Linked DNA regions of Struthio camelus. The protein of the gene in region 3 interacts with the protein of the main gene of each other region in a pairwise test. Links are inferred from orthologs where the notes say so. Each region holds a gene or a part of one and is shown on either strand. Other genes may lie near its edges. The genes, in order: GTF2B, POLE3, DRAP1 and NFYB.

Region 1 (7,006 bases), on a different chromosome or scaffold from region 3:
TTTTGGAATAAAAGGAAGCTGAACTATTAGAAGATGAAGCTTCTCTTTTTCCATTTGCAATGCCCTTTTTCACAAGGCTCAATAAAACCAAAAGATAAAATGCTAATAAAAAAAAATTGTTACTATCAATGTGAATACAGCTTGCTATATTAAGAAGTTTCCCTATAACCTCTGAAATGTGTGCGTAGCAGTATCTGCAACAGATGTGCCACATCAGCACTGTCAGTCCCATGAAGCTTTCCACGTTTGTCTTGGCTTCTCATATAATCTATTCTATAAAACAGATCATCTGCTGACAATCACTGTCAGCAGTCGGTCCCTTCCGACGCTGTTCTCATTAACTAGAAGTGAAAGGGTTTAATTTCCAGCACAGAAAGACAATCATTTTCAGCACTGTTGGAAAAAGTATGATAGATCATATCTCACCATTTCTTTATTCTCTGTCTGTAGCAATTTTTCCCAAGTTCTTTGTCCACAAGCAGCCAAAAAGTGGTTGATGTAGCAGATGGGAATACCACTATTAACCGTCTCTGTCAACAACACATCATTTTAATAACTTACAGAAAGTTCACCTTGCTGTGCCTAGCTGTACTTGTTCTTTCCCATCACTACAGTTACAACAATAACCCCACTTTAAAACTTATTTTTTAATTGCTCATTCTGGAGCTTTTTACAATTTCATCCAAAATATCTCATGCTGGCTACTGTCAGTGATAAATAGATAGTTCAATTGCAGTTCTCACATTATGAATATTACCAGCATCATTCCAACAATATAATGCAATGGGATATTCAGATGTCTTCATGAACACAATGAGGAGTACACTAATGAAAACAAGTCATCAATTCTTACTCGTATGTATAAAGATCCTTTGTAATGGTTTGTTGATTTAGCCAACATTCATTTTGTTAAAATAGCAGATGTCAGTCAAACGCCTCAAAGGAGCAAATGAAAGAAACAATAAATAGCCAAGGCAGCTGAATTATGCTTGGTATGTTAATTCATCTCTGTGCTGCATCTTATGTATTCAGACATCTGATGAAACAAAAGGATTAGCACACTACAGCAGCTGGACAAAATAGGCAAAAAGAAATCAAAGCTAAGTGAAGTCTAATACAGTGTGTCCCGTAACATCAGCAGGGCTCTGGAATTATACACTATGCAGAGCTATCTTTAAACCTGGGCCCCCTGTGTCTCCCCTGTCAGATTCAGTGCTTTAGCACGTGAGTTATTAGCATGCAAGAATGAGGTATTTAAAATGCTACTGTTACTGAATGTAACAATGGAAAAACAGGTATATTTTGCTATAATTTTTATAATTTCCTTGGCAACCTTGCCTATAGCTTTTCTTTCTTGCATATATTCATACAAAGACCGACTTTACACAGGGTGTCCCATTTGCCAATGACAGTAATGCAACAGTAACACAAGCCATGGTATTAACAGTAGTCAGTGTTGAAACAAGTCTTTAGGAAGCAATGATACTTCTTTACAAGGCAACAAAAACACTGTAGAGAGAGGTGAATGGAAGCAACTTTTATCACTTCACTGCTGTTGTGAGGACCCATAACACAATTACACATATGCTCACATGCTAACACGCTATCTCAGGGAAATCTTAAACTGCAGAAATAATAATTTTAAATAATAATTTTTAAAAATATTAAGTGGATTGTGCTTTGTAGCTGTTATCAAGGCAAGCATGGTACAACGATATTTAAAACTCCCTTTTGACATATAAAATGATGATGAAAATTATATGTTGAATTTTGTTGAAATTATATGTTGAATGTTGAATTGCATTGCAAGGCACTTGTTTCAAGGACAGGAAGCTAAATAACAAATATTTTATTATTTTGTACTATTTAAGAGGCTAAGTCATTAGGAAATTTTGATTCATATTATCATATCTGAACATATGTTAGCAAAGATTTTTTTATTTTATGAGAATTCACTTTGCAATGAAAGTGGCAGGTGCCTTAGTGTGACATTCTACTCCAAATGGCTTTTGGAATGGAATATTTGTGGAGTAATTTCCAAATAAACCAGTTGTTTTACATATCACCAACAGAAGCATTTCCCTTGCCCAGATTATCACTCAGCTCAACGAACTGACACAGTGTCCTCTAGTTCCTGCAACAGCACAACTCCCCGGTGCACTTTACACAAAGAGATTTTAAAGGTCGTGCAAAATACAGTGTAGATTTCACTGAATTTTACTGTTTTATAACAATAGTTCCTCCTGGAATTTATGGGAATTTATTTAAGAATTTCCCTATGACATTCCTGCTGGAATTTAAGTTAAGTCATTTTAATTACCAAATGGATATTTTACACAAAGACTACAAACCCCTGAAAAATACCAAGCAACCTTTTTCTGTTAAGGTTTGGGGGATGGCAGTGTATGACAGCTAAACAGACAACACAAGTCCCAGCTACTGGACTCCCAGAAGTCCAAGGGCAAGAAGAGGTACTGACATGTTTAGTCAGCAGAGGCGTAACAGCTGCTATCACAGTCCAGTTTCCATACAACTTTTTTTAGCCCCTGGCCACGATCACAGACTGATAGAACTCAATTAGACTCCAGCTATATGACTACAGAATGAGCAAGGCAGTTGCAAAACTAGGTATTGAATTTGTTCCAACTTTTCCCCAGAAGGCCTGTGGGAAGAATGAAAAAACACAGAATACAACATACATCCTTAAAAGGCGACCTACCTTGATTGCTTCTGCTAGTGGGAAACCCATCCAGAGATGAAAAGGTCACACAGCTCAAAGAGGAAGCAACTAGAAAGGATTTCTCCACATTGATCTCTTCTGAAACACTCCCTTATCCATCAAGCTTGAAATAGTCCTAGTTAGCTGAGCTCCATAGTACAGTATTTGGCCCATCTCCATGCTTCCCCAAGCATGAAAATAAGCACTGAAGTAAGTTTGGTGTGAAGTTACTAACGGTTGTTGTGAACATGCAAAAAGTGGAAAAGGAATTACAGGATTACGTATGTCACTGTACGTTTGATTGTGAAGGAGCCTCTAAGGCAAGGTGTTTTATTCTGCTTTGTAGATTCATCTATTTAATAAATATTATAGGTATTCTAGATGCCACTTTTAAAATTTTTTTGGGGGGGGGGGGGAACGAATGCCTTCAGAACAGTAAACTTGACTAATGTGGGAAAATAAAATACTAATTATGCAGCTCAGCACATTTAGAACTTGCCTATATATAAACACTGCGTTGATTTAACTCAATCACTTTATTTAACTGATACAATTCATGCATGGACAGAGTAGGTAGGTAGGTAGGTAGAAAGTCACTGCAATTATCTAATCTGAGGCACGTCTTAATTCTCCTCCACTGCTGGCTATTAGGTCTCACAAACCACAATGTTTTAAGTCTTACCCCTAGTTTCTATACGACTTCACACCAAAAACACCTCCCATTTTTTCCTTGTAAGTCTTAAAATACCTATATGATGTATTCATTTTACTCAGAGTACCAGAAATCTTTGTTTTTCAGTGAGAGAGGTGGAGCCTGTAGATTATTTTGGAAAAAGGTCAATCATTTTGAAAAGACCTCTGAAAATAAGCTCTGAATTGCATTACACGCATTGAGTAAATCATTGTTTTAACTCCTCAGCAGGTGGCAGCACAAAGTTATTTACAATGTCAAATTAATTCTGTACTAAGTAATTTGTTCTTAAATTTGCAAGAAAAAGTCCTAGTGTAAGATTATACCAGACAGAAGAGTTGATTAAAAAAAAAAAAAAAAATCAAGCTATCTTTTTATTCCAGTTCTTCAGGATGACTTCAGCTGCATCTAGTGTGCTGTCTTTCTGCAAAACAAGGAGTACTACTATTACTGTAAGTAAAGAGTTCTTGAAAACAGAGTAGCAGTCATAATTATAACATCTGAAATCAATATTTGGCAGTTTCGTTCGCATCATGTAAATATCCCAAACAGTCAGTTCTCCATTAACATTTATAGCTACAAATCTAGACAACACCAAGAATTCAATGTTAATACCCTGCAAATATTTTTCAGGTGTATTTGCTAAAAATAGAGCATATTTTTCTCAATATTTACATTATCAAATTTAATGAAAGTGGATACTTTTTACATAAATGCCTGGCATTTATGCATTAATGTTCTTGACCGCTCTATATTAGAAGCATGCTAGTCATAGTTTGCTAATCTTTACAATTAGGATTTTTAAATTTCCATGCAACCAAGCTATGCTGTGAACTACTTAAACATAATCCCTCTAAATATGGGTAATCCATCCACTGGCCAGTTCTGTGGCTTGGCTACAGCCGGTTAGTCACACGAGTAGCCTTTACCTTGGCACAATTAGCGTTCTTCATCCTGAGCAAGCCACGTTCACAACGAGCAAGTTTCATCCTGGTTGTTAGTGGCTCAGTTTATATCATAGTCTTTATACCTCATCTTAAGAACTAAGTAACACAAGCAGAAACTCCCTTTCATCAGTGGTTCAAGCTAAGGCTCTGATCTGTACATGGAACAGTTAAGGGGTTGGCATATGTGCCATTATGCCGATTCTATGACAGAACAGTAAGACTAAGATTTTAGGGAAGTATGTCTACCAAAGTTTATGTAGCTGCCTCCAACGTTTTTCAGTATTTTCAAAAACAGACCCAGCAAGTGGGTGTAACAGGAGGAAGAAGAATATGGGAAGAGGAGGTGCTCACAAAATTACAAGAGTCTGCCAGTTTACAATTTGTCAATTCTGCCTCCTTTAAAAAACACTGAAGATTCCTTTTTATGTCTTTGTTTTTCTTTGTGATTTGGAGCTCATTTAAAACTGTATGTACGTTCAGGTAAGTGAGCTAAACTTGAAGCTCACCTATTTAATGATTTGTTTTGTTGTTTGAAACTGACTGCACATGGTGTATCCCTGTCTGCCATAGAAAGGAATTATTCCTTACCATGGATTATAGAATTCATCTTAATAGATAGCATGAGATATCTGTGTCATCCACTCTCATTGTCACCACTGGCCAAGAATGTTTTAAAAATCAACAGAATAAGCTAAAAAAAAGCTTACCCACCCAGCTGTTTTCTTCGACCTGCCCTTCTTAACCATGCCACTCGCATTTAGGACTTAAAGCCCCTCAGCAAAAAGATAGCTGAAGCTACTTTGTGTTTAATTTTACATCAAGCTAACTTTCTGCTGCTAAAATCACAAAACTCAGGAGATCCTGTGAAAAAAATGTTATAAGTAGCCTGTTGCAGATTTTTATATTCATTGATTTTTATTTTTTGAATCTTCCTGGGACACAAGTTTACCTTAATGAAGCAAAAACGTATGTATTTTTCAAACTGCACTTTTGTCTGAGGACCACAGAATGCTGAAAGAGGAATTGCTGAAAGTTTCTGAAGCATAAAACGGAAATATTATTTATTATACACAGATGAAAAACCAGTTTCACACATGACGATTTTACTATCGAATTTCCTAGAACTCTCCCTCCCAACATTCAAGTGAAATACTAGGCTGGATCTTGCACGCAAAGCTACGCTTAACTAAGTTCAAATCACTTTTTTTAGGCAAAACAGTTCAAAGGTACTTGTCTACAACTAGCATTTAAGCGTGCAGAAAGAACAAAAGTTGAGACTTAACACAAACCTACAGAGTACATTTTCAGTACATTCAGCAATATTTTAGTCACATCATTTCCAGCAGTTAGCATAAATAACAAATAATATTTTGAACGTAGTATTTCTACTCCATTATTGCATAAGTACAGTTACACTTCTCTTGCTTCCAGTAGACAAGCATTTCTAAAACTTCAGAGTATGACAAAGACACCTTACCTTAGATGCTATCATCCATTTGACAAATTTATAATCATAAGGTTGATTCTCCTCCACATCAGAGAGATCTACATCTAAAAAAATTAAACAGAGAACAAACAAGATCTTGTAAGACTTCCTAGCCTCCAGTGGCAAGGCATTCACTAACAGCACTTCAGTTAATACTTAAGAATAAAGAGGTATGCTTTTATTATAAAATATAATTAAAAAAAGTTATAAAGATTAAACCAGGCCAACAGATGTACATCTTTCCACTCTGACCTGAGCACTCGCTTTCCATGCAAAGCAAAATCAGAGAAGTAGCTTGGGAGAGAACGATGCAATCCCCCAAGAAGTCATCAAGTCTGGATGACTAAGGGCCCTGGAGTCTGGAGAGTACTGAAGTGTGTCCTTTTTGCACAACATGGACAGCAATAATCACTGCTACTGCTGCAGTTCTCTTATCTGTAAAACTAGGGTATCTATAATTTTCCGACATCCTGGTAGGACTGTGAGGCTCAGCTTTGCTTAAACGTTTCTGTGTGAATGACAAGTGCCATTAAAACCAGTCAGTGAAAGATATCCAACAAAAATCCACAACCCTGATGGAATTCTTCCTCCAGAGGTAGCATAGCCTGAATTTCCAGAGAGATCTGTAAATGTTGGTGAGATTTGACAATGTTTAAAAATCAGAATGCGTTAAAGATAGCTCAGCATTTGACTGCAGCTTAAGGGGAGAAAAAAAAAAAAATAGAAAATGGGTACAAACGCAGGATATTAAGCCAGGTACTTGGCTCGCAAATGTTTCCATAATCAAAGACCTTTCAAAAATAGAAATGTTTTTACTGTTTCCTTTACTTTTCCTATTTGCACATCCCTGAAACCTTGCAAAAACTTTGCAAGGTTTTGCTGAAGCTTGTAAAATTTACCTCCAGGCTAAGGTCAAACAGAAAATTTCAGTCCCAATTAGTACTTCTGACAATGTTATGAGAAAATGAAATGAGAACATAGTTTAAAATGGGAGTTGCATTTTCATCTTAATATTTGTTTCCCATCCCCCATTTACTAAACCTTTTACTAACTTAATGTAGAAACATCAACAATCATAAAGTATCCTCCATCTGGAATGACAGGCTTCAGTCCAACTTCTCGAAGTAGCTGAGCCATCCGATCACGCTTGCCTTCCAGCTCTC
Region 2 (7,554 bases), on a different chromosome or scaffold from region 3:
CCCTACGAACAGAGCCCAACTCCCGCACACGTCTCATCAGAAAGCTTAGTTGTCCACCTCTTCCTCCTCATTTTGCTCTTCTTCCTCCATTCTTTCGTCGTCGTCATCATTCTCTTCCTCTCGGCTCTTATCTTGCTCTTCTGAGTCTGCCTTCTTGTCTTTATCTTTTCTTGCTTCTTTCTTTCCTTTCTGTTCACGTCTGTAAACTAAAAAAAAAAAAAAAAACACTGAAAATTTGCAGGCTATCCACTGTATGAATAGTAGAGCAGCTGAAGTCCAATGCCCACTTGCTCTCCAGGGTTACAACAGGAGCAGTGAATTCAGAGCAGCAACTCACCCTATTATTTGAGCTGTGCTGAGCAGCTCCATAGGAAATCAGGTTAAGTGCTGTTCAGCAGAAATATGCTGAAAAGGACGCAGGAGTTCCCATTTACAGGCAGCACCTAAGACTTTCCTTAGACAAACATAATAGGGGAATGATATCAGATGAGACTTTCCCAATCCTCATCAGTTGTGAAATAATGTTATCCCAGTCCTGTTAAGGTGCACATTATTTATTCCCCAGGCAAACTGCAGTGTAGGATGCTGGGCAAAGAAAAGAGAAACAAGACAGGGAAATAAGCGTTGCTTGTCGAACCTTCTAGGAAAGTAGGACTTGGTGCTACTTAGACTCCCTTGACATGAACTGAGACCAGTACCTTCCAGTGATTCTTTTAAAGGGGCTACAAATCGCTGAAACTCCATTTCCTCCATGGCAGAGAGAACATCACCAGCATTCAGTGTTTTCCTCTTCCCTTTCATTGCAAAGTTATTTGCACTAGTCAAAAACAAGGAGAACAGAGATAATAACTATCAATTTATTCTTGCTTCTTAAGGTCACAAACAACTTCCCCCCCTCCGCCCCCAAAAGTGATCTCCTAAACATTCAGTTGTTCTTACCACATACTATAGCTGATTTACTGTAATAAAGATATTTTCTTGTTTACATTGACTGTTCATGTTTCCATAATCTGGGTGAGTACTTAAAACCAGAGCAGTGACTGTCTGCACAGCATATTCTGAGCATATACACATGGCCATATACCCAGCCACCCAAAAGAGGTTACTGTATCCTCTGGGATCAGCTCCAAGGCAGCCTATGGTTGTCTCAGGCTTAGTCCTAACGCAGCTACGTGGAGAGCCTGGAAAGTGAGCAAAGGTCTTTCGCATTTGCCTGGAAATACCATACAGCCATGCTCCAAGGCCAGAGGACAGTGTGGGGGCCGCTCTTATTCCTCACGGGGTAGGAAGACACCTTCGTCTACAGAGTCATATCTGTCTTCCCTCAGTTTGTACAGGACAGTCCAAATCTGACTGCTGCAATCTGATGGACTGGGCTAGGCTGAAGATTGTTTTATTCATATAAACAGTCAACACTTCACTAGCGCATTGAAAAAATCATTTCCAGGAGAGCCAACAGAGAGGCTAGTTATAAATCAACTGCACTGGTGATCTGATCCAACCACTTCTTACCATGATGTTGCATAGAGCACAAACACACTTGCCGCTCGAGATATTGCGCTCCGAGCTTCTTTAGAAATATTTACTCCATCAGGAAGCTGAAAAGCAAATTCGAGTTTTATCAGTAGCTGCTATAAATGGCTCAAGACTGCATAATTCACGTGTCAGCTCAGCTAAAGCTTTCAGAGAGCTCAGCATGACTGCAAACGTGGAAAGATTTATTTATCTCAGATGTTATTACAGAAAGTTTGATAGTAGCTGAAAGTTAACGATGATCTAAGCTACATAAAAGGAAAGTAAATTCTGCATCAGCAGTGGGTCTGGCCATCATCTCAGTGGCGATTCATCTGATCACTATCAAATTCTTGATGCAGAACAATCATCCAGCAATATCCAAACTCATGCATTGACGCCTCATAGCTTAAGATCATCATATCATTAACTTAATAACTAAGACTTACTCTAGGCTTCTACACAGAAAAGAAATTGCACTTGAGCCCTCATCTGTTTCTGCTCTGATTTTGTTCTGGGAGCTGGTTTAGGAAGACAGGGTTCTCACTGCCCCATCGCTCCTGCCTCTACCGTAGGATTTCAGAGTCTGGATCGTTACTCCTGACACCTGGAAAACTGGGCTGGGGGCCGATCTTTTCCTCACAGGTTTCCTCACAGGTGCACAACACGCGTGACGGCACGGGAGGCTGCGCCCACCGCTCTCCCCGGACAAGCTGTTCCCGGCACCCGGGCACGTTTGGGGAATTCGAGAGGGCAGCAAAGACGTGGAATAAAGAAACTGCCGCGGGGGGCTGCTCCGGAGGAGTCTGTCTGCTGGCACCCACCCACCCCCGTCCCTCGCTCGCCGGGGCCGCCGACGGCCGACTGCCCCGCCGCCGGACCGCCGAGGGGACGCGGCCCGGGAACCGGCGCTGCCCTCGCCCTGGGGCGGCGGAACGCGGGCCCCGAGCTCCGCGGTGAGCGGAGGCCCCCCGGCTCGCCAGGAAGCGCCCCGAGGCCGGGGCCCCGCTGCCGAGCCCTGCCGCCTCCCCGGCCCGGCCCGGCCCGGCCCGCGCCGCCGCGCCCACCGCCTCCTTGATGATGCGGGTGATGACGGCGTTGGGCAGGTTCAGGTCCTCGGGTCTCTCCGCCATCCTGCGCCACCTGCAAGGCAAACGGGAGCGTCACTCGCCGGGGCCGCCCGGTGCCGGGGGAGGGCGGGGGGGGAGGTGCGGCCCGGCCCGGCCCGGCGCCCGCGGTACCTCGCCGCGTGCCGGCGGCCGCCGCACCGAACCGCGCGCCCAGCCGCTGCCCTCTCACCTCTGACCCCTCCCAGCGTGCAGCGCGCCCCTTCCCGGCCTGCCCCGCGGCCGCCGCCGCGCGCCCCGAGCGCGGCCGTTGGCCGGTAGGCAGCGCCCGCCCGGTAACGAGGAGACGGGCTGCCGCCGCCGGCGGCGACTCAGGCCCGGGGGCGCGGGAGCCTGGCGGCACCGGCGGGCACGGGCACGCGGCGCGCGGCGTAGGGGGGCGGGGCCAAGGGGGGGCGGAGAGGGGGTGCGTCCAGGGGGCGGGGCTCGAGGGGCCCGGGGCGGGCCCGGGCGTGGTGGGCGGGGCCCGGGCTGCCGTGGGCGGGGCTAAGGAGGCAGGGCGGGGCGCCTGCGGGGTGGGGATGGCGGGAGTGAGAGCGGGGCAGGAGGAGTTGGAGGGCGGTGGGTGATGGGGGCAGTTCATGGGGCTCCAGGGTGGGGGGACAGGGGCAGTTTGTGGGAGCCTGAGGTGAGGGAGCAGGGCCGGGGGCAGGTCGTGGGACTCGGGGGCTGCGGACAGGGGCAGTTTGTGGGAGCTCAGGGCAGGGAGCAGGGCCTGGGGCAGGTCGTGGGAGCCTGGGGGGTTGGTGAGGGATCAGGCGCAGGGGGGCGAGAGCCTGGGGGGAGCCCGTGAGGCAGGTGCCCGGCCCGCCCACCGGTTTCCGGCCTCGTGAGGGCACGCCTTGGGCTGCATGGCATCCGCGCGGGGGCCTCCTCGCCCGGCCGTGGCTCGCCCTGGGGGCCTTCGCCTCGCCAGCCCTGGCGGCGAGCCTGGGGCGCGCGCTTGAGCGCTGCGCTGGCGCGGGGATGTGGCTGCGGCGCGGGGCCTCGTGGGCAGCCTGGGCCTTGGGGCGCCAGGCCGTGCCGAGCGTGCCTTCGGCGAAGGTGTCGCTTCCCCGCGGACCCCGGCCCCCGACGCGTAACGCCGCGCCTCAATTTCTCTTCAGTTGATTTCATCAGGTTTTATCGCTTTTGATAGCCTGACAAGGTAATTGAAGTAAACTCAGAGTGTTAGAAGGCAGTGGATTAATCTGGTGTGGTGTCAGAGGTCATTTTTGAAATTGGGAGTGTTAATGGTCAATGCATCTTTTCTCCATGCAAAGTGTACGTTTTCCAACAGTAGCTTGTGGATGTTTACGTGACCAATTTATATGTAAAGATTGGAGCTTATTTTACACCTGATGGTATTCTGGGAATAGTACGCAACATCTTCGGTGTAGAAAGGTCAGACCTGAAGAAAGGCTTGTTTGCCTGAGGACGTGATTACGTTTCCAGTTGTACTGGTTGGATTAATAAAAGCTATCACCTGTATGTACAAATCATGTCTCTTGAATCTCATTTTTAGCACCTTTTAATGTATTCTACTGTTAACTGTATGGATGCTTTATGGCACGCAGAGACAAGATGCTGTAGCAGGTGTTGGATTAGTTTCTAATGAAAGTAATGAGAGACTGTAACTGGTCCGTTTGTAAGTGTAATAGATGGTGCTAATACAGACTTCTGAGTTGGCTGGCTGCTCGCTGTTGTTAGAAGAGTCATTAGAAGCCATTGTGGCTTGTTTTGTTTTTTATTTCGCCAGAGGCGAGGTTGTCTTTTGTACACACCTTTTCTAATTTGAGAAGAAAGCAAGACACAGTTATGTTGTTTTCTGGTGAGGGGGGTGGACTGGCGTAGAAACAGAAATGGTGCTGGCCCAAGGCCAGACAGAGGTACAGCCCAAAGCTGCTGCTCTCATGAACCTCTTCTAGATGCTTCTCATCATGAAGAGGCGTATATCTTTCTGACATGATGGACTCTCTTCTTTCTTGGATGCTTTGGTCACCAGTGAAATAACTGAGATAAAAAGGTGTGCTTGTTTTTAACTACAACGTCTAGAGGGTCGACGCTGTATCTATTAAAGTAATAATTAACCTGCGTTTTCTTTGAGGCATGTAATGGTGATATTGTCTCCCGCTTTTTTGCTTTTCCGCACTGGCTAGCATAGCCAAACCACTGCTCTTATGTCACTGTAGATATTCCAAAGCCACAAGGAGAAATTATTGTACCAGTGTAAAATGTGACTTGTAACAGTGAAGTTTACTACTGCAGGTCACATTTTACATGTTACATGCTTTGCATGTTACAGCTAGATGAGACTAGAAAGGAACTATGATATCAAAGCTCTGGAGTGACAGGGTACAATGGCAGGTTGTCAGCTTGTCATGACCTAGGATGGATGTGCCTGAGGGCAGCCTGTGATTTGATCCCCACCCTGCAATGTGGTTATTTTTAACGTTATACTGTATATGTATTCAGGTTTGTTTTCTTCTGCTAAATTAATATGCACTAATTTTCTGTTTTGCAGAGTATTTAAATCGATGATACCATCTTACCACTCTCCCTTCATACTGGAGCGGTTGCAAAAAGGATGACTGCAGATGTAAGCCAGTGGGACGAAACTATTTGTGATAAGGTTATTTGTCAGCATCCACAATGCTGGGATACACTAAGGAGGATTGAAGAGGGACATCCTCGGATCCGTTTAAGAAATTCTGATTCAATTTCTAGAACGTTTTTGGAAAGCAAAGGTAAAGTTTTGGTTAAATTATTATCTTCACAGAAGAAGGGAAAAGAGCATTCTTGCATTTGAGATAACTAACTTGAAATCCTAGTGAAGTCAAGGAAATTTTCAGTTTTCACATGAGGTAGCTAGTGAAGTTGAAGACTGTTCACAGATTTTTGGATTTTTAAAGCTGGAAGCAAACATTAGATTGCCTAGTCCGACCTGTATAATGTATTCATGCCCTTCAGGATTTATCTCAATAGCTTGTTCAAATAAAGCATCTCTTCCCTAAGGTAACTAACCTTGATTAGCTGATATCAAGAAAGCCAGAGTTACTTTCCTTGGCAGCTTGTTTCAATGGTTTCTTGTTAAATTTAGGTACTCAGTCTTCAACATGCATTTTTCCTTAAGTATATGTCCATAAGCTAGTAGCAGGTTTCATTCCAATTCCACCCTAGGTCCTCTAACACGCTTCAGGAAAGTCTTTGTAAATGAGGTTTGCATATCAGCTGCTTGGAGCTCCCTGTGTACACTCTTTGATCACTACTTCCTAGTGTTTGCCTGTGGGTCTGATCTCCTGTTTACCCAAGTGATTCATCAGTGTTTGACAAAACTTGCTGTCATCTTCTTAAGGGGGTTTCTGCTGCCTACCAGCAAGAATGGGGTCGCTATGGACAGATAATTAAGAAGAAAGAGTTGTTATACTTATGTTACTGTAATTCCTCGAGATACACTGTACAGAGCAGTCTGACAAAGTGCCCTTCTCTTCTGTAGCTTCACAGAGTCCTTTAATGGAGACTCTGAGCAGCAAAGGAGGTGACTGGTGGTTGATACTGCACTAACCTTCTTGCCCTTAGAATGGCGGGTTGAGGCTCTGCAGGGCTCATGCACGGCTCAGAAAATGCTGTGGTGTAGAAGGTGGTGATTTCTTGCATTTTTGGCACTTTGGGCCCTAGGAGTATGATCTGCACGTAGAGAACTTCTCCAAGAATCACGGTTGCTATAAGGTGAATTATTGTTTCCTTAGCTAGAAATTCTGGCTACTATAAATGGGGCTAATACACCAATGGAGCTGTTGTGTCTTCAGTGGCAGTAAACAGTTATTAAACACTGCACGCAGTTTTTACTTATCAGATCCTTGATGTTCACCTTGCATTTGCTTTACTTTTCTTAGATGAATTTCCAACGCTGAAAATAGTAAATATCCCCCCCAGCAAGTCTTTGAGAAGATGCGTCCAATGTTCCAAGTGTCACAGAACTTTCTCCATCTCTGCTGCACCCTCTCTTCTAAATTCTGTGCTTCAAGAGAGTTCGGAGGAAGATAGTGCTGTCAGGTGAATGGCTCTGAACATCCATCTGTGAGTTTTAAGCCTGCAGTAAGGGCAGGCATGAAGGTGATAGCTTGTTTTTTTGTTTTTTTTTTTTGTTTTTGGGTTTTTTTTGTTTTTTGGGGTTTTTTTGTGTTTTTTTCCTCAAAGAGCTCACAGAAACATTAGGTTCAGCTGTAGTGGACACAGCTTACAAAATGTTGTTTGTACTGTGTAGAATACACTGTTAGCAGTAATGGTTGAGTCTTGCTTAAGTTTATTTCCTTGAAAACGATGCTTCTGTATCATTAAGACCAAATAAATAAAAAATTTGAAGTACAGATTATTTCTGTATAGTAGTCACTGTGGAGTGCATATATAGTCTCTGTTGGTACTGAAGCCCTATTAAGATCGGTGCAATAAAATTCTTGAAGAAACACAAGTCCTAATTAAATGTGTATGCCCATATGGTGGTATAGAATCGGCAAATGGTTGAGTATGTTCATAACCCCTGTAGGCTGGTGAGTCAATTCACACCTCTTTCCCCTCATTAGTACTAACTGGATCCACCCTAAACTGCTGTGGAGCTATTCACAGAGTAAGTTATCACAGAGCATGAGTCAGAGGGGACAGTAAAGTGCTCAAGGCCAGAGTTAAGTGTGTGTCCCATTAGCTCCATGTCTGTAACAAAACAGGAAGGGACCAGCTGCTCTGGAAGCTGAACACACAGCTCGGATCCGAGTGGCTTCCATGGCATGGGATGTTGTTACAGTACTTACTTTTACTAGTTTAAATTTGTCATAGACTGGCCCTTGCTGGTCTGCATTCTTTTCTTTTTCATTATAGAATAAGAATTTTAAACTCTCGACGGTATCCTGTTTTTAAAGAAAACGAGCTTTATTCTTTA
Region 3 (7,597 bases):
GTCCCCAGGGGGGTATTTGGGGTCCCGGGGGGGTCCCTGGGGTCCCCGGGGGGCTATTGGGGGATTTGGGGTCCCGAGGGGGGGTATGTGGGGTCCCTGGGGGGAAGTTGGGTCCCCAGGGGGGTATTTGGGGTCCCGGGGGGGGGGGATGCGGGGTCCCCGGGGGGGTATTTGGGGTCTGGGGGAGGATGTGGGGGGAGGCGGGGTCCCCAGGGGGGTATTTGGGGTCTGGGGGGGGGATGTGGGGGGATGCGGGGTCCCCAGGGGGGTATTTGGGGTCTGGGGGGGGATGTGGGGGGAGGCGGGGTCCCCAGGGGGGTATTTGGGGTCCCGGGGGGGGATGCGGAGTCCCTGGGAGGGTATTTGGGGTCTGGGGGGGGATGTGGGGGGATGTGGGGTCCCCAGGGGGGTATTTGAGGTCCAGGGGGGGATGTGGGGGGATGCGGGGTCCCTGGAGGGGTATTTGGGGTCTGGAGGGGGAATGTGGGGGGATGCGGGGTCCCCAGGGGGGTATTTGGGGTCCCGGGGGGGGATGTGGGGGGATGCGGGGTCCCCAGGGGGGTATTTGGGGTCTGGAGGGGGGATGTGGGGGGATGCAGGGTCCCCAGGGGGGTATTTGGGGTCTGGAGGGGGGATGTGGGGGGATGCAGGGTCCCCGGAGGGGTATTTGGGGTCTGGAGGGGGGATGTGGGGGGATGCGGGGTCCCCAGGGGGGTATTTGGGGTCCCGGGGGGGGATGTGGGGGGATGCGGGGTCCCCAGGGGGGTATTTGGGGTCTGGGGGGGGATGTGGGGGATGCGGGGTCCCCAGGGGGGTATTTGGGGTCCCGGGGGGGGATGTGGGGGGATGCGGGGTCCCCAGGGGGGTATTTGGGGTCTGGAGGGGGGATGTGGGGGGATGCAGGGTCCCCAGGGGGGTATTTGGGGTCTGGAGGGGGGATGTGGGGGGATGCAGGGTCCCCGGAGGGGTATTTGGGGTCTGGAGGGGGGATGTGGGGGGATGCGGGGTCCCCAGGGGGGTATTTGGGGTCCCGGGGGGGGATGTGGGGGGATGCGGGGTCCCCAGGGGGGTATTTGGGGTCTGGGGGGGGATGTGGGGGGATGCGGGGTCCCCAGGGGGGTATTTGGGGTCCCGGGGGGGGATGTGGGGGGATGCGGGGTCCCCGGGGGGTATTTGGGGTCCCGGGGGGGGGATGTGGGGGGATGCGGGGTCCCCAGGGGGGTATTTGGGGTCTGGAGGGGGGATGTGGGGGGATGCGGGGTCCCCAGGGGGGTATTTGGGGTCCCGGGGGGGGATGTGGGGGGATGCGGGGTCCCCAGGGGGGTATTTGGGGTCCCGGGGGGGGGGATGTGGGGGGATGCGGGGTCCCCAGGGGGGTATTTGGGGTCCCGGGGGGGGATGTGGGGGGATGCGGGGTCCCCAGGGGGGTATTTGGGGTCTGGGGGGGATGTGGGGGGATGCGGGGTCCCCAGGGGGGTATTTGGGGTCCCGGGGGGGGGGATGTGGGGGGATGCGGGGTCCCTGGGGGGGATATTTGGGGTCCAGGGGAGGGATGTGGGGGGATGCGGGGTCTCTGGGGGGGGATGTGGGGGGATGCGGGGTCCCCAGGGGGGTATTTGGGGTCTGGGGGGGGGATGTGGGGGGATGCGGGGTCCCCAGGGGGATATTTGGGGTCCTGGGGGGGGATGTGGGGTCCCCGGAGGGGTATTTGGGGTCCGGGGGGGATGCGGGGGTGCCGACGTCGTTGCCCCCCCCCCAGGCCCGGCGCCCTCCGAGCCGCGGCCCCCCCGGCGCATGGCGGTGCCCACCCGGCCCCGGCCCGGCCTCGGTGAGCCTGCGGGGGGCAAACAGGGGGGCTGGGGGGGGAAATTGGGGGTCTGGGGGGGCAAACAGGGGGCTGGGGGAGGAAAAGGGGGGTCTGGGGGCAAATTGGGTCTAGGGGCAAAGAGGGGTCTTGGGGGGTAAATTGAGGGGTCTGGGAGGGCAAAGTGGGGGTCTAGGAGGAAAGGGGGGTCTGGGGGCAAATTGGGTGGTCTGGGGGGGTAAGTTGGGGGGTCTGGGGGGTCAAAGTGGGGGGTCTGGGAGGAAAAGGGGGGTCTGGGGGCAAATTGGGGGGTCTGGGGGGGTCAAAGTGGGGGGTCTGGTAGGGCAAAGGGCGGTCTAGAGAGCAAATTGGGGGTCTGGGGGGGTCAAAGTGGGGGGTCTGGGAGGAAAAGGGGGGTCTGGGGGCAAATTGGGGGGTCTAGGGGGGCAAAGTGGGGGTCTGGGAGGAAAAGGGGGGTCTGGGGGGTAAATTGGGGGTCTGGGGGGTAAATTGGGGGGTCTGGTAGGGCAAAGGGCGGTCTAGAGAGCAAATTGGGGGTCTGGGGGGGTCAAAGTGGGGGGTCTGGGAGGAGTAAATCGCGGGGGGGGGTAAACCGGGGGGGGGGCAACCAGGAGCAGGGGCAAATTTTGGGGGGGTGTTGGGGGGGGTGTCATTGCTGCCCCCCCCCCCCAGCTCTGCTGCCCCCGCCGGCCCCGGCGGCGCCCCCCGTGGCCCCGGCTTTCGCTTTCGGGGTCCCCCCGGCCCCGGCGACGGTGACGGCGGCGGGCGGCCCGGCCGTTTTGGGGGGGAAAGGGGCGCTTTTGGGGGCGCCGGAGGCCGAGCACCTGTCGGAGGCGCTGCTGCAGCTGCAGTTCGAGGACGGCGGGGGGGGCGGTGGCGGCGGCGGCGGCGGCCCCCCCCCCGCCCTCGACCTGCCCCCCTCGCCCCTGGATTTGGGGGCGCTGCTGGCCGACGGCCCCTTCCCGGCCCTCGACACCATCAACGCCGCCGACTTCCAGCGCCTGCTGGCGGCCCCCGCCGACCCCCCGCCTCCCCCGCCGGGCCCCGACTTTGGCGGCGGTTTCGGGGCGCCCCCCGGCGCCGGCGGTTTCGAGGCGCCCCCCACGCTGCTGGCTTACCCCGAGGCTATCGCCCGCCTGGTGCAGGGTCAGCGCCCCCCCCTCGCCGACCCCGCCGAACCCCCCCGGCCCCCCGGCAGCCCGCCGGCGCCCCCCGACGAGCCCCTGCCCTCCCTGGGCGACCTCGACTTCACCGCCTTCCTCAGCCAGTTCCCCTCTTCCTAGGGGCCGCCGGGCGACTGGGAGCCACTGGGGGGCACTGGGAGAGACTTGGGGAGCACTAGGGGCCACTGGGAGCGACTGGGGGGGCGCTGGGAGTGACTTGGGGGGCACTGGGAGCGACTTGGGGGGGCACTGGGAGCGACTGGGGGGCTCTGGGAGCGACTTGGGGGGGCACTGGGAGCGACTGGGGGGAACTGGGAGCGACTGAGGGGGCGCTGGGAGCCACTGGGGAGCACTGGGAGCGACTGGGGGGGCGCTGGGAGCCACTGGGGAGCACTGGGAGTGAGTTGGGGGCCACTGGGGAGCACTGGGGGCGACTTGTGGGGGCGCTGGGAGCGACTGGGGAGCACTGGGAGGCTACTGGGAGCCCCTGTAGAGGCAACGGGGAGCCCCTGGGTGGCGCTAGGAGGCTACTGGGAGCTACTGGGGACACTGGGAGCCGCACAGGGGCCATGGGCTGATCCCCCCCCCAAAGTGGACCGGCCCATTGGGGTGCTATGGGGTGGAGGGGGAGTGGGCTGAACCATTGGGGGCTCATGGGGGGGGAGGGGGTGGGCCGAGCCAATAATCTTACGGGGTGGATCAGCCCATTGGGGTCCCTATGGGGGGAGGTGGGCTGTACCATTGGGTCCATATGGGGGGACGGATCAACCCATTGGGGTCTTTATGGGGGGGGGGTGGACTGAACCTCTGGGGTCCCTATGGACTGAACCATTAGGGTCTTATGGGGGGGTGGATCAGCCCACTGGGGTCTGTATAGGGGGTGGACTGAACCATTGGGGTTTCTATGGGGGGGGGGCCAGGGGCTGTACTAGTAGGGTCCACATGGGGGGGATGGACTGAACCAATGGGGCCTCTATGGGGGGGAATGGGCTGTACCATTAGGGTCCATATGGGGGGGATAGACTGAACCAATGGGGCCTCTATGGGGGGGAATGGGCTGTACCATTAGGGTCCATATGGGGGGTGGGCTGTACCATTACGGTCCATATGGGGGGGTGGGCTGTACCATTGGGGTGTTATGGGGGGGAGGGCAGATCAGCCCGTTGGGGCCTTATTGAGGAGGAAGGGCTGAACCATTGGGGTCCCGGGGGAGGGGGAGGAACACCCCCCTCCCATCCCACCTCTCTCCCCCACCCCCGCTTTGGCTCCACCCCCTCCGGGGCCAGCCAGCCAATGGGAGGCGGCTCCTCCCCCCCCACCGCAGTGCCTTAACCGGGGCGTCCGCGCGCCCTCCCCCCCCCCCAACCCGTTTTTTTTTTTTTGTAGAGCCAGTTTGAACCTTCCTCAATAAAACGCTCAAACGCGCCCGCCCGGACGCCTGGGTCCCTTCCGGGTGGGGGCGGGGGCGGGGGGGAACCCGGAAGCGGCGGCGGCAGGAAAGCCGGAAGCGGCTGGGAGGGGCGGAGGGGGCGGGGCGGAGGGGGTTGATTGACAGCGGGAGGAGGGGGCGGGCGGTGGCGCGGGGCGGAAGGGGCGGGGCCGCGGGGCGGAAGGGGCGGGGCCGCGGGGCGGAAGTGAGGGGGTCGAGGCCGCAGCGGAGGCAGCGGCAGCGCCGGGGAGCGGGAGCCGCCGGGGCGATGCCGAGCAAGAAGAAGAAGTATAACGCGCGGTTCCCGCCGGTGAGGGGCGGCCGGGCCTTCACTGCCGCCGGGGGGGGGTCTCCATGGCAACCGATGGGGGGCGTGGCCGGGCCTTCACTGCCGCCGGGGGGGGCGGGTCTCCATGGAAACCGATGGGGGGCGTGGCCGGGCCTTCACTGCCGCCGGGGGGGGGGGCGGTGGGTCTCCATGGCAACCGATGGGGGGCGTGGCCGGGCCTTCACTGCCGCCGGGGGGGGCGGTGGGTCTCCATGGAAACCGATGGGGGGCGTGGTCGGGCCTTCACTGCCGCCGGGGGGGGGCGGGTCTCCATGGAAACCGATGGAGGCGTGGCCGGGCCTTCACTGCTGCCGGGGGGGGGGGTGTCTCCCTGACAACGGATGGGGAGGCGTGGCCGGGCCTTCACTGCCGCCGGGGGAGGGGGGGCGGCGGGTCTCCATGGAAACCGATGGGGGGCGTGGCCGGGCCTTCACTGCCGCCGGGGGGGGCGGGTCTCCCTGACAACGGATGGGGAGGCGTGGCCGGGCCTTCACTGCCGCCGGGGTGGGGGGGGCCCGCCGGGTGTCCATGGCAACCGATGAGGGGGCGTGACCGGGCCTTCACCGCTGCCGGGGAGTGGGGGGCGCCGGGTCTCCGTGGCAACCGATGAGGGGGCGTGGCCGGGCTTTCAGTGCCGCGGGGCGGAGCCGCCGGGTCTCCGTGGCAACCGGGGGGGGCGTGGCCAGGCCTTCACTGCCGCGGGGGGGGCGGGTCTTCATGGCAACCGATGGGGGCGTGGCTAGGCCTTCACTGCCGCCGGGTGGAGCCGCCGGGTCTCCGTGGCAACCAAGGGGGGCGTGGCCGGGCCTTCACTGCTGCTGGGGGGGGCAGGTCTCCATGGCAACGGATGGTGGCGTGGCTGGGCATTCACTGCCGCGGGGGGGGGGGGCGCGCTAGGTCTCCATGGCTACCGATGGGGGCGTGGCCAGGCCTTCACTGCTGCTGGGCGGAGCCGCCGGGTCTCCGTGGCAACCGATGGGGGCGTGGCCAGGCCTTCACTGCCGCCGGGCGGAGCCGCCGGGTCTCCGTGGCAACCAAGGGGGGCGTGGCCAGGCCTTCGCCGCCGGGTCTCCATGGCAACCGAAGGGGGGTGCGGCTGAGGCTTCACTCCGCCGGGGAGGGGGGCGGGTCTCCTTGGCAACCGCGGGGGGGGCGTGGCCGGACCTTCGCTTCCGCCTGGGGGGGAGGTGGTGCCGAGTCTCCATGGCAACCGCTGGAAGGGGGCGGGCCTTCACTGCTGCCGGGTCTCCATGGCAACCGCCGGGGGGGGGTCACCTGCTTCCTATGTCTGTGGATCCCGGCTGCCCTCAGGGGCAGGGAGGGGGGCGTGGCGCGGAGGAAGGGGGCGTGGCGCGGAGGAAGGGGGCGTGGCCTGCCCTCGGGGTCATCCGAGAGGGCTCGCCGGGGGCGGGGCCAGGTCATTCGCTCCACCCCCGCGGCTGCTTTGAAAGGCTACTGAGGGGGCGGGGCCTCGAGGCGGCTTGGGGGCGGGGCCAGGCGGCAGGGGCGGGGCCAGGCCACTTTCCTTGCTCCCTTCCCTGGGGCTGGTTTAAAAGGCTGGTGGGGGGGCGGGGCCTGGGGGGTTTGGGGGCGGGGCCTGGGGGGTTTGGGGGCGGGGCCTGGGGGGTTTTGGGGCGGGGCCTGGTGGTCGGGGGCGGGGCCTGAGGGTGCGGCCCGCAGGCACGCATCAAGAAGATCATGCAGACGGACGAGGAGATCGGGAAGGTGGCGGCCGCCGTCCCCGTCATCATCTGTATCCTGCCCGGACGCCTGGGCCCCCGGTGGGGGGGGGGGGCGGTCCCGGACACCTGGGTCCCCTCTGCTGGGAGGTGATGGGTGCCACGGGGAGGGGCTGGGTGCCCTGGGGGGGGGGTCGTGGGGTCCTGGGTGCCCCATGGAGGGGGTTTTGGGGGGTTCTCGGTGCCCCATGGGGGGGTGAGGGGTGTCGTGAGCCTTTGGGGGGGAGGGTCAGGGGGTCCTGGGTGCCCCATAGGGGGGGTTGGGGGGTTCTAGGTGCTCCCTGGGGGGGTGAGGGGGGTCCTGAGTCTCTGGGGGGGGGGGTTGGGGGGTCCTGGGTGCCCCCTGGGGGGGTGAGGGGGGTCCTGAGCCTCTGGGGGGGGGTTGGGGGGTCCTGGGTGCCCCATGGGGGGGTGAGGGGGGTCCTGAGCCTCTGGGGGGGTGTTGGGGGGTCCTGGGTGCCCCATGGGGGGGGGTTGGGGGGTTCTCGGTGCCCCCTGGGGGGGTGAGGGGGGTCCTGAGCCTCTGGGGGGGGGTTGGGGGGTCCTGGGTGCCCCATGGGGGGGGTTGGGGGGTTCTCGGTGCCCCCTGGGGGGGTGAGGGAGGTCCGGGGGGGGTCAGGGGGTCCTGGGTGCCCCCTGGGGGGGTGTCCTGAGCCTTTGGGGGGGGTCGGGGGGTCCTGGGTGACCCCCAGGGGGATGAGGAGGGGTGCGGGGGGTCCCGGGTGCCCCCCGGTGGGGTGAGGGGGGGTGCGGGGGGTCCCGGGTGCCCCGCGGGGGGTGCGGGGGGGTCGGGGGGTCCCGGGTGCCCCGCGGGGGGTGCGGCGCGGGCCGGCCGGGTCCTTAGCGGGGCAGCGCGGGCGCTGGAGCTCTTCCTGGAGTCGCTGCTGCGGCAGGCCTGCCGCGTCACCCGCGCCCGCAACGCCAAGACCATGAGCACCGGGCACCTGTGAGCCCCCCGGACGCCGGGGCCCCTCGGGGGGGTGGGGGCGGGAGACCCCCGCCCGGACGCCTGGGTCCTGCTGGGGGAGGGGGCTGGGAGACCTCCCTCCGGACGCCTGGGCCCCGCTGTGGGGGGGGGAGCTGGGAGACCCCCGCCCCGGACGCCTGGGCCCC
Region 4 (7,865 bases), on a different chromosome or scaffold from region 3:
CAAGGAGATATTACAGGATCCAGGGTGTCCTTGAACTTTTATAATCCTGAAGACTGCTCTCCTTTGTGTGTTCTTGCTATTGGAAAAGGACATCATGCCGATTATTTATGCGTAGGCTAGCAGTGGGACTCAAAACGTGCTAGGCATTTTCCAAGCACAGTGGAAGATAAAAGTCCCTCCTCCCAAAGAATCTAAAAAGAGAGAGATGGGCAAAGAAGGAGGAAAAAGGATTTAACATATAACCAAGGCTATAACCAAAGCATCAAGAAATCATTGCAGTAGTAACTGGAATATACTGCATTTTGCTTCCATCTTCCTCCTTCCACTTCTCATTCTTCTTCTTGTCACATTCCCCTTACATTTCAATGGCCCAACATTGGACCTCACGTATGGGTGCAGTTCAGTCAGCTAAGAATAAATTATAAGATAAACAGATGTATTTGGCTTTACATAAGCCCCGTACAAAGTTTAATTTCTAGGAGAAATTTAAAGAAAAAGAGGGTAGATACTTTTTCGCTCTGCTTAGAAAAAAAAAAAGATTTAACATGGGCAACATTGTAGGAGAAACGAAAGACGTCTATGGAGAAGCAAACTAACAGAGTAAAGAAGTAGATCTGAGCGAAGAATAGATGACAGGGCAAAATAGTAACTGTAGATCAGCAAAAACGAAAGTTTTATAGAACCTTGGGGTTGATCATAACTTGTGATTCAGGAGAGAGTAGGAAGCCTGAGGAAAGACTAAAAAAGGAGTTATCTTTTAAGATGGCAAAATCAGGAATGGTCTGATCCAAATAATAGTTAAGGAACACAAAAGCTCCCAGGCTGTACTTCAAATGGTCCGAAGATGATCTTAGTGAGGAGGTTGTAATAAATAAGGTAAGAGGTAAGACGGGCCAGTAGAACTGTAGGAAGAAGAAATGGATTTAGAAGAGTGGGGTGAGGAAGGCGAAAACTACATACTAGTCTTCGGGTGCAGCATCAAGATTTTGTTCTATAGTGACAGAGCCTTTGAATTACTATACTTAAAATTTGCAAATGATTTTGGATAATTCTGATTTTTGGATTCACTTGTTTGGGCACTCAGACTTGATAACATCTTAACTGTTGGACTTTTTGGGGGACAATTTTTTTCTATTGCTTCAATGGAACTTCACCACAACAACACGAGATCTTTTTTCTTTTCCTAATGGGAGGAAACGTGATTAGAACATAACTGCAAAACAAAAAGCTAAACCAGACATTGCAAACAGTATCAAGGACAGCAGCGGTACTGCAAGCTGTTTTTTAAACTTGTTTTTTCAAACTGTCTGAGTTGCCAGCTGATGGTCCCCATTTGATGCAAATATGGAGATGGGGTTTGGTTCCTTCTCTCAGCTTGTGCTGAGAATGATTTTAATAACTTTAATTCTGAAGCTATAATAATCCCTGAACACCTGTAACAATTATTAGCTTCATTATCATCATAATTCTTGCTATTACAGATTATCTATAATATCTATATTGAAAATATCATTTCTAAAATCTCAGTGATCATTCCCATGGCAAGTTCAGAGACTTTTTTCCATTTCTAATCTTAAATTAAATAATCATTCTTTGTGCTAGAAACTTCAGCTGGCACTGGAGAGATCACTGCAGAGTGGAATCGTAGCACAGCATCAAAAATGTGAGTTGCTTAAGTCCTCTGTGAAAAAAAAATCAAGGACTGGGTGGCAATGCCTCTTACACTCAAAGACCCAGTTATTATCCTGTTTTCTTTCTTCCCTTTCACACATTATTGCTATTATGGCAAAGCGCTGAGAGCTTAAGTGGTTTGGGGTCCTCTACTACAAGCATTAGTCAGATAATCACAACTCTGAGGGGGCTATAAGCTAAATCTCTGCAATATTTACATTTCACATCGAGGGACACTTAGAGGGCATGAGTAGCTCGCTTGCTCAGGGCACCTTGCAGTCATGTTACAAATTGGACTAAGAGCTCCTGAGTCGGAGTCTGTAGCAGGCATTTTGTTGTAGTGCTTTAGCATTAGGTGTTGTTCCCTTCCACGGACAGCATCCTCCTTAGTCAGTCAGGATACAGCCCAGTAGTCAATCTGTGCAACTGAAAAGAAGATTCGTCCACCAGAACATTAAGAGCTGGTTTGGCATCTTTTCTAAACCTTTCAAACAAACACCAACATTTGCCGTAAGCAAGAATACTGATTAGATAAGTTGCCTTATTTGGTAACTAGTCACACGCTTCCACATGAAAAGACAAGAAAGTTCAGAATTTCAGCTGACAGTAACAGCAGGTATTTGTGTGCTGCTTGTTGATGGTTTATAGGGTTGTAGGCTCTTGTTTTACCCTTCTTCTTTGTTTATGCCAGAAATTCTTCAGGGCAGGCACTTCTCTTGCCACTTATTTTGTATGATAGCGGCCACAATGGGCCCCTAACCGAGGCAGTGCTGTACGAAAATCATTACAAATAATATCCAGAGCCCAGAAGGGAGCAATGCGATAAGCCTAATTAGGCTTTCTGCACGAGGTAGTGAATCTTTCAGTTAGAGCGTCTCCTCCCTTATACGATTTCTAAGTGGGAACCGTTCACTGCGAGGTAAACATTTCTAAAACGCCTTTTGGCTGCTCTTTTCCCTCGCCAGCGTCCCTGCCGCCGCCACAGTCGCGTTGGCTGTATGGACGGTCCCTTGACCTCAGCCAGGCCGAGCTGCGGCTCAGCGCCAGCAGCCCCGCACGGCATCACGCCGGGGGAAAAAACAACAGCAACAACAACAAACAACAACAAAAACAAACAAAAACCACCCAAAACAAAAAAAACACACAAGAAAACAGACTGATTTCGGGCAGTATTTTACCGTTAGGCGACTCTTGGCGCAACAGCTGGCCCCTGGCAGACATCTCCCCGGGCGCCGACCTGCCTCACGTAAGATGGAAGGGGGGGGGCGCGCCCCCCCACCCCTCCTCACCCGACTTCCCCTCCCCGCCGCGACCGTTACAGCGAGACGCCGCCTCGCGCCGCCCGGCCGCGCCCCAACGGCCGCGCCCCAACGGCCACCGTTGAGCGCGGCCCCGCGCCCGCCGCCGCTGCGGGGGGAGTGGAGGGGGTGCTGAGAGCCGCCAGGGGGCGCCGCCCGGGGCTGCGCCGCGCCGCGCAATGGGGAGCGCCCTGCAGAAGAGCAAAGCGGTGCGGCAGGCGCCCGGCGGCCGCCCGGAGCGGCGGTGGCGGCGCCCAACAGGTAGGCAAACCCGCCCGCCCGCCCGCCGGCGCAAAGAGAGCGAGGGTCTGTGCCGCGGCTGCTGCCCGGGCCGCCGAAACGGCTCGGAGTTGGGGGGGGGGGAGCGGAACAGCCCTCTCCCCCGTGGAGGTGATTTCTGCCCGGCTGAGAGGCTGTCGCGACAGCGGTGGGGAATCTGTCTTTCACCTGGCCGTTTTGTACCCGTTCAGAGTCACGGCGGGCGCTCTTGGGATGTGGGGTTTAACTGTTGCTCTGGCTGGCTCCCTAAGGACCTGGCGATACGGAGAAGTGACGAGCGTGAGTGAGGTAACGAAGGGCCGCAGACGTAACTGGGCGTGCGCCCCTGCCCTAATGAAAAAGCGCTTTTAGCACATAGTATTTCACTGGGCGCCTACTGCTGAAAGAACGCTTTCAACTCTGCCTATTTGAAGATTATGGACAATTTCTAACGCTTGGGAAAGGGGTACGTGTGTTCATAGGTGTTTTTAATATACATAGTAGAGAATTCCCGAAACTAAAACACCTTGGCCGTTTTAAGATAGTATGTAACATTTTACAGGTGTAGTATGTAGAAGGAAATTGTCACAGTGTCTTCGCAAACAAAGAATAAAGATGCCTGTGTAGTAAGAGTTTGCATAAGACAGGAGCACAGCAGTGGATGGCAAATACAAAAAATGAGGCTCCCGCCAGTTAGAGCTCATGAAATACACTTATTGTTGTGGCTGCATATTGCTTAGTACCTTTTTCTAGCTGTGTAAGCACAAAATCCCACAATCTGAGTTAAGGGCATGGCATTGGAAGCACTGCATATCCTTTTACCCTAACTGTGGAAGACTTAAAAGAAAAAAGAGAAAGAAAAGCCTATCAAACTGCCCAAGCATACACTCTCAAGAGAGTCCAGTTGCCCGCGTACTTGAAGGGTAAGGCAGCTCCCTCGGACCAACTAGGGAATGTTCCCTTACCTAATGTTGCCAACTACTAGGTTACTATTAAGAGTAGTAACCTAATCAGTAGTACCTGATTTAGCTTTAAGTCAGATACTGAAAGCAACGTAGGTGCGGTAGCGTGGAGTTTGGGGCAGGATAAACGGCAGTGTAGTTACCCAGTGCAGTACCCAAACCTGTAGTTCCCTCTGATGACAGTGTACCCACTGACAAACTCAGAAGTGAAGCCAGCATCTTAATGAGCTTTTTCAGCCTTGGGAAGCTGACTCACTGAGGGTAACGTGACTTCAAAGGACATGTTGTTTGGGCTTCAGTCTACATGATCTGCTACATCTTGATTTCTCAATTTAAGACACTACTACTCCCTGCTGCTTATTCGAAAACCCTGGCAGTGTCTTAGTTTAAACCTCCACTAAAGCTGGTTTAAACTATGATGCCAAGCCTTATATTGCGGCATCTAGGCAGCTTCACTCCTGGAATGGTCATGTACAAGTGGATTAATATCTCAAACCTGGCATCTGTTTCTTAAAGGAACAAGTCAATTTTTCTTATGTCCTTCAAGAACAAGAGATGAGAGGAGTTGTGGGTGGTGTTGGAAGAGGTCAAACAGAACATTAACAGCAAATAATTGTAGGAATGCAAATAGAGATACATAATTTGTTTGAAAACTGAAACAGAATTCAAATAAGCTAATTACTCATTGTTTAGCTGACTCTAAAACACGGACAATCTTAAATTAATCCCTTTCTATAGCTAATCATAGCGGTGAGCAGTTTTTCTACTTTTATCTCACATGCATCCCTCAGACAAGGCGTATTTAAACTTCTCTGTGTTCTTTTACTAGGAGGAGGAAGAAATTGGGTGGTTCATGGCTTTCAGAATTTCTCAGTTCCTTTTTGGATCTATTCCCGCCCTTCCATCTTTTTTTCAATGGGAATAATAAATTTTATTACAAAGTCATAATTATTAATTCACTTAAAGAGCCAAAAGGATGTCTAATAAAGCAAACACTGGCAGTGAGCAAAACCAGCAAGGAAAATGATGGCTAGCACAGGAAAAAATTACTGATTTTTAAGATATAATGCTTATATATATTCTGTATACCACAACTATTGAAGACATTTTACCTTAGTTTGTACTTTTATAAAGGTTCTCTTACAATCTTCAAATAGTATTTGGTTTACTTCACCAAAAATATTGTGAATATGCAGTATTTATGACGCGTTTTGTAGGTGTAAAGGTATGAAAATTGGAAACAGCTCAAAGATGATCGTTTTCCTGAATTTTATTAATGTATCTCTGCATTATTTTAGTTTTCTGTATTGATACACATGCATTTTATTGTGAAAAAAAGGACTCATGAAAAGAAGTCAGGGCTACACAGTAAGTGTAAACATCTTAGAATTAAGGTTGCCTGAGTTGCAGCTCTTGCCATATAAAACGTATTGTTTGTTCTGCAGCGCTCTATCCTGGTATCACCTCCAGTGCCCCTTTTTTTCCCCAGATCCTCATGCTAGACGAATTTTATGAGCTGCTGTGTTTCCATTTGACTTTGATGTGAGTTAAGGTTGCTCATCTCTGTTTGGGACTGGGCACTCAGGACCTGGCGCATACCGATGGACCTAGAAAGTTCTAATAGACTTGGAATGAGATGTGGGTTGGAGTCTACAAAACGAATTAACCAAATATTTTTAAAGTCATTACTGTTGGGTTTTTTTGGTGCTAATGTGAGAATCCAGCGTAACTATAATGGGGGATCCAGTTTGGTGGTCCTGGTTCTGTGCTGAAGTACTACCATTGGTGGTGACCAAGTTGTATTGACATTTTCGTGTGGTGAAAGTGTGCGTTATGAGGCCTTACATGCTTTTATTTATTTTGTAGTATTTCCTGCAAATGTTTTGCCCATGTAATTTGCATGTGAATGGCTCAGGTATAACGATAACAAATGTGTCATAGCACTCTGTAGCATAGAGCAGACTTGACCCTCCTGGAGGTGGAGTCATGGTTGCCCACCTTGTTTTTTCTTCTGCCCTTGTTTACAGTTATGCCATCCCCTTGACTTTGGCCATGAATAGGGGCAGTGCTTATCCCCCACAACGTACAGTACTGCCCCTTCCCCCCTTTTTTTTCTGCAGTCCGGTGTAACAGTTGCTCTATATTCAAGGCTTCTTTGGAGATACTGGGATGATTTTCCTCATTCTGAATGCATGTATCGTGTCTTTGAATACTTACTGTATGTTCCATTTCTGCGTTATCAGCAATTGTTAACCATGATACTCCTCTTGGTGTCACAGTGTATATCTTCCTCACAGAGCCATCCTTTAACTTATCAAGCAATGTCTGACACTCTCTGTCTTTTTGCTGATCCTCAACTTAGTTTTACCTTGTGTTTTTTCTTCTAAGAAGCTCACAGCTGTTGCTTTCTTTAGCATGTTGTCCTCCTATATGAATTACCTATGCCTTGTACCATTGATAACGTGGTCAGTCTCGTTTTTGGTAAGCCGACGGAACTGTGTGTCTCCCTGTGAGGGAGCTGCGTGTGCCCGTAGTCAGGTGGTTTGTCTCACCAGAAGTCATTGGCCCCCATTAATGTTGGCTGTCACAATGCTGTCTGACCCAGCACTTTCATTTGCCTGCTATCTTTACTTCCTCCCTTTGCATTCATATCTCCCACTGTTAGAATCATAAAATAGTATCACAGATAAGATTTTCGTGTCTCTTGTGATGCCACATGTCCGTTTCTTCCGTTGATGCTACTACTTTGAGCTAGAAAATAGTATTAGCTTATTCTAGTCTAGTACTAAACTGTTCTTTAAGAACCTGCTCCGGCTTTCAGAAGCGAACTGAGGCATCTTCCATAATCTTCTGCTGTAGCAAACTCACCAGTTTTACTTGTTCGCTCACATACTCGGAGAGGAAAGCATGATTTTGCGCTGTCACCTCTTGTGTATTCTGGCAGTGCGTTCCCAGTATGACAGTAAGGAAGCTCTTAACTTCCTTAACTCCCGCACTGTTTGCACAACCTTACACAAAGCAAACAGATTTCTGTATTTCTGGCTCACAAAAGTGTAATGCATTTACTGTTTCCTGCCCATCTTTTACAATCGTTTCCAGTTAGGCCTTTGTCAGGATCCGTATGCATCAGTTTGGTTTGTTGTATTAGTTATGCGGCAAGGAAGTTCTGAGGGTCATGATCTGTTAGGTTACCCTACTTCCCTCAGCTCATAGAAACGCAGTGTCATTGTTTGCTGGGTTGCTGCGAAGAGGATTAAATTGTTCCACCCCAGTCCTTTTGTTTTCCAAGGCCAATAAACTTTGATTACTCTGGATTAAAATCAGTGCTTTTTTCCCCCTCTTTAAAAAGCCCTGCTTGAAAAAATCAGAAGCTTCCAAGCCAAGCACCCAGCTACCTTTCACATGCGGTGCCTGCCTTAAAGTTTTTGCAGATTCCAGGAGATCACTTGCAAAAAGCTTGTTTTATTTTAACCGTGTTCACTTTTAATACTGATTTGTTTGGCAAAAACCTGATTTTGTGCGAGAGACTTTCCTGTGTTTTTTGATGTTCTATGTGCCTAAAACGAAACCCTCGTTGCAAAGAGATGCGTGGGAATGAATAAGTGGCTTTAATTGTGGCAGAGACAATAAAGGCATGGCCAGCGGCAGTAGGGACTAACAAATGGCACAGTAGCAG

What was found.
Region 1: the proteins of DRAP1 (region 3) and GTF2B interact in binary tests that used the Homo sapiens proteins (3 or more experiments, as listed by UniProt). The two-hybrid records come from large-scale screens. The link is inferred for Struthio camelus from reciprocal best matches to the Homo sapiens genes DRAP1 and GTF2B.
Region 2: the proteins of DRAP1 (region 3) and POLE3 interact in binary tests that used the Homo sapiens proteins (3 or more experiments, as listed by UniProt). The two-hybrid records come from large-scale screens. The link is inferred for Struthio camelus from reciprocal best matches to the Homo sapiens genes DRAP1 and POLE3.
Region 4: the proteins of DRAP1 (region 3) and NFYB interact in binary tests that used the Homo sapiens proteins (3 or more experiments, as listed by UniProt). The two-hybrid records come from large-scale screens. The link is inferred for Struthio camelus from reciprocal best matches to the Homo sapiens genes DRAP1 and NFYB.

The regions. Positions count from the first base shown.
Region 1 is NC_090949.1:19,993,582-20,000,587, reverse strand, and holds the start of GTF2B (transcription initiation factor IIB), read right to left. Parts: upstream 3,008-7,006; 5' UTR 2,750-3,007; coding exon of another isoform or gene 2,720-2,749; intron 1,037-2,719; 5' UTR 902-1,036; coding exon 854-901; intron 531-853; coding exon 427-530; intron 1-426. Other genes in the region: KYAT3 (kynurenine--oxoglutarate transaminase 3), read right to left, coding at 3,772-3,834, 5,307-5,393, 5,835-5,908, 6,896-7,006. UniProt on the Homo sapiens protein: General transcription factor that plays a role in transcription initiation by RNA polymerase II (Pol II). Involved in the pre-initiation complex (PIC) formation and Pol II recruitment at promoter DNA.
Region 2 is NC_090961.1:12,219,794-12,227,347, forward strand, and holds the start of POLE3 (DNA polymerase epsilon subunit 3), read right to left. Parts: upstream 3,006-7,554; 5' UTR 2,812-3,005; exon of another isoform or gene 2,754-2,811; intron 2,656-2,753; 5' UTR 2,646-2,655; coding exon 2,580-2,645; intron 1,599-2,579; coding exon 1,513-1,598; intron 818-1,512; coding exon 699-817; intron 207-698; coding exon 46-206; 3' UTR 1-45. Other genes in the region: C20H9orf43 (uncharacterized protein C9orf43 homolog), read left to right, coding at 5,206-5,365, 6,515-6,674. UniProt on the Homo sapiens protein: Accessory component of the DNA polymerase epsilon complex. Participates in DNA repair and in chromosomal DNA replication.
Region 3 is NC_090976.1:890,972-898,568, reverse strand, and holds the start of DRAP1 (dr1-associated corepressor), read left to right. Parts: upstream 1-4,586; 5' UTR 4,587-4,685; coding exon 4,686-4,727; intron 4,728-6,425; coding exon 6,426-6,498; intron 6,499-7,336; coding exon 7,337-7,430; intron 7,431-7,597. Other genes in the region: RELA (transcription factor p65), read left to right, coding at 1,760-1,828, 2,498-3,108. UniProt on the Homo sapiens protein: The association of the DR1/DRAP1 heterodimer with TBP results in a functional repression of both activated and basal transcription of class II genes.
Region 4 is NC_090942.1:62,634,723-62,642,587, reverse strand, and holds the start of NFYB (nuclear transcription factor Y subunit beta), read right to left. Parts: upstream 3,009-7,865; 5' UTR 2,850-3,008; intron 1-2,849. Other genes in the region: TXNRD1 (thioredoxin reductase 1, cytoplasmic), read left to right, coding at 3,149-3,230. UniProt on the Homo sapiens protein: Component of the sequence-specific heterotrimeric transcription factor (NF-Y) which specifically recognizes a 5'-CCAAT-3' box motif found in the promoters of its target genes.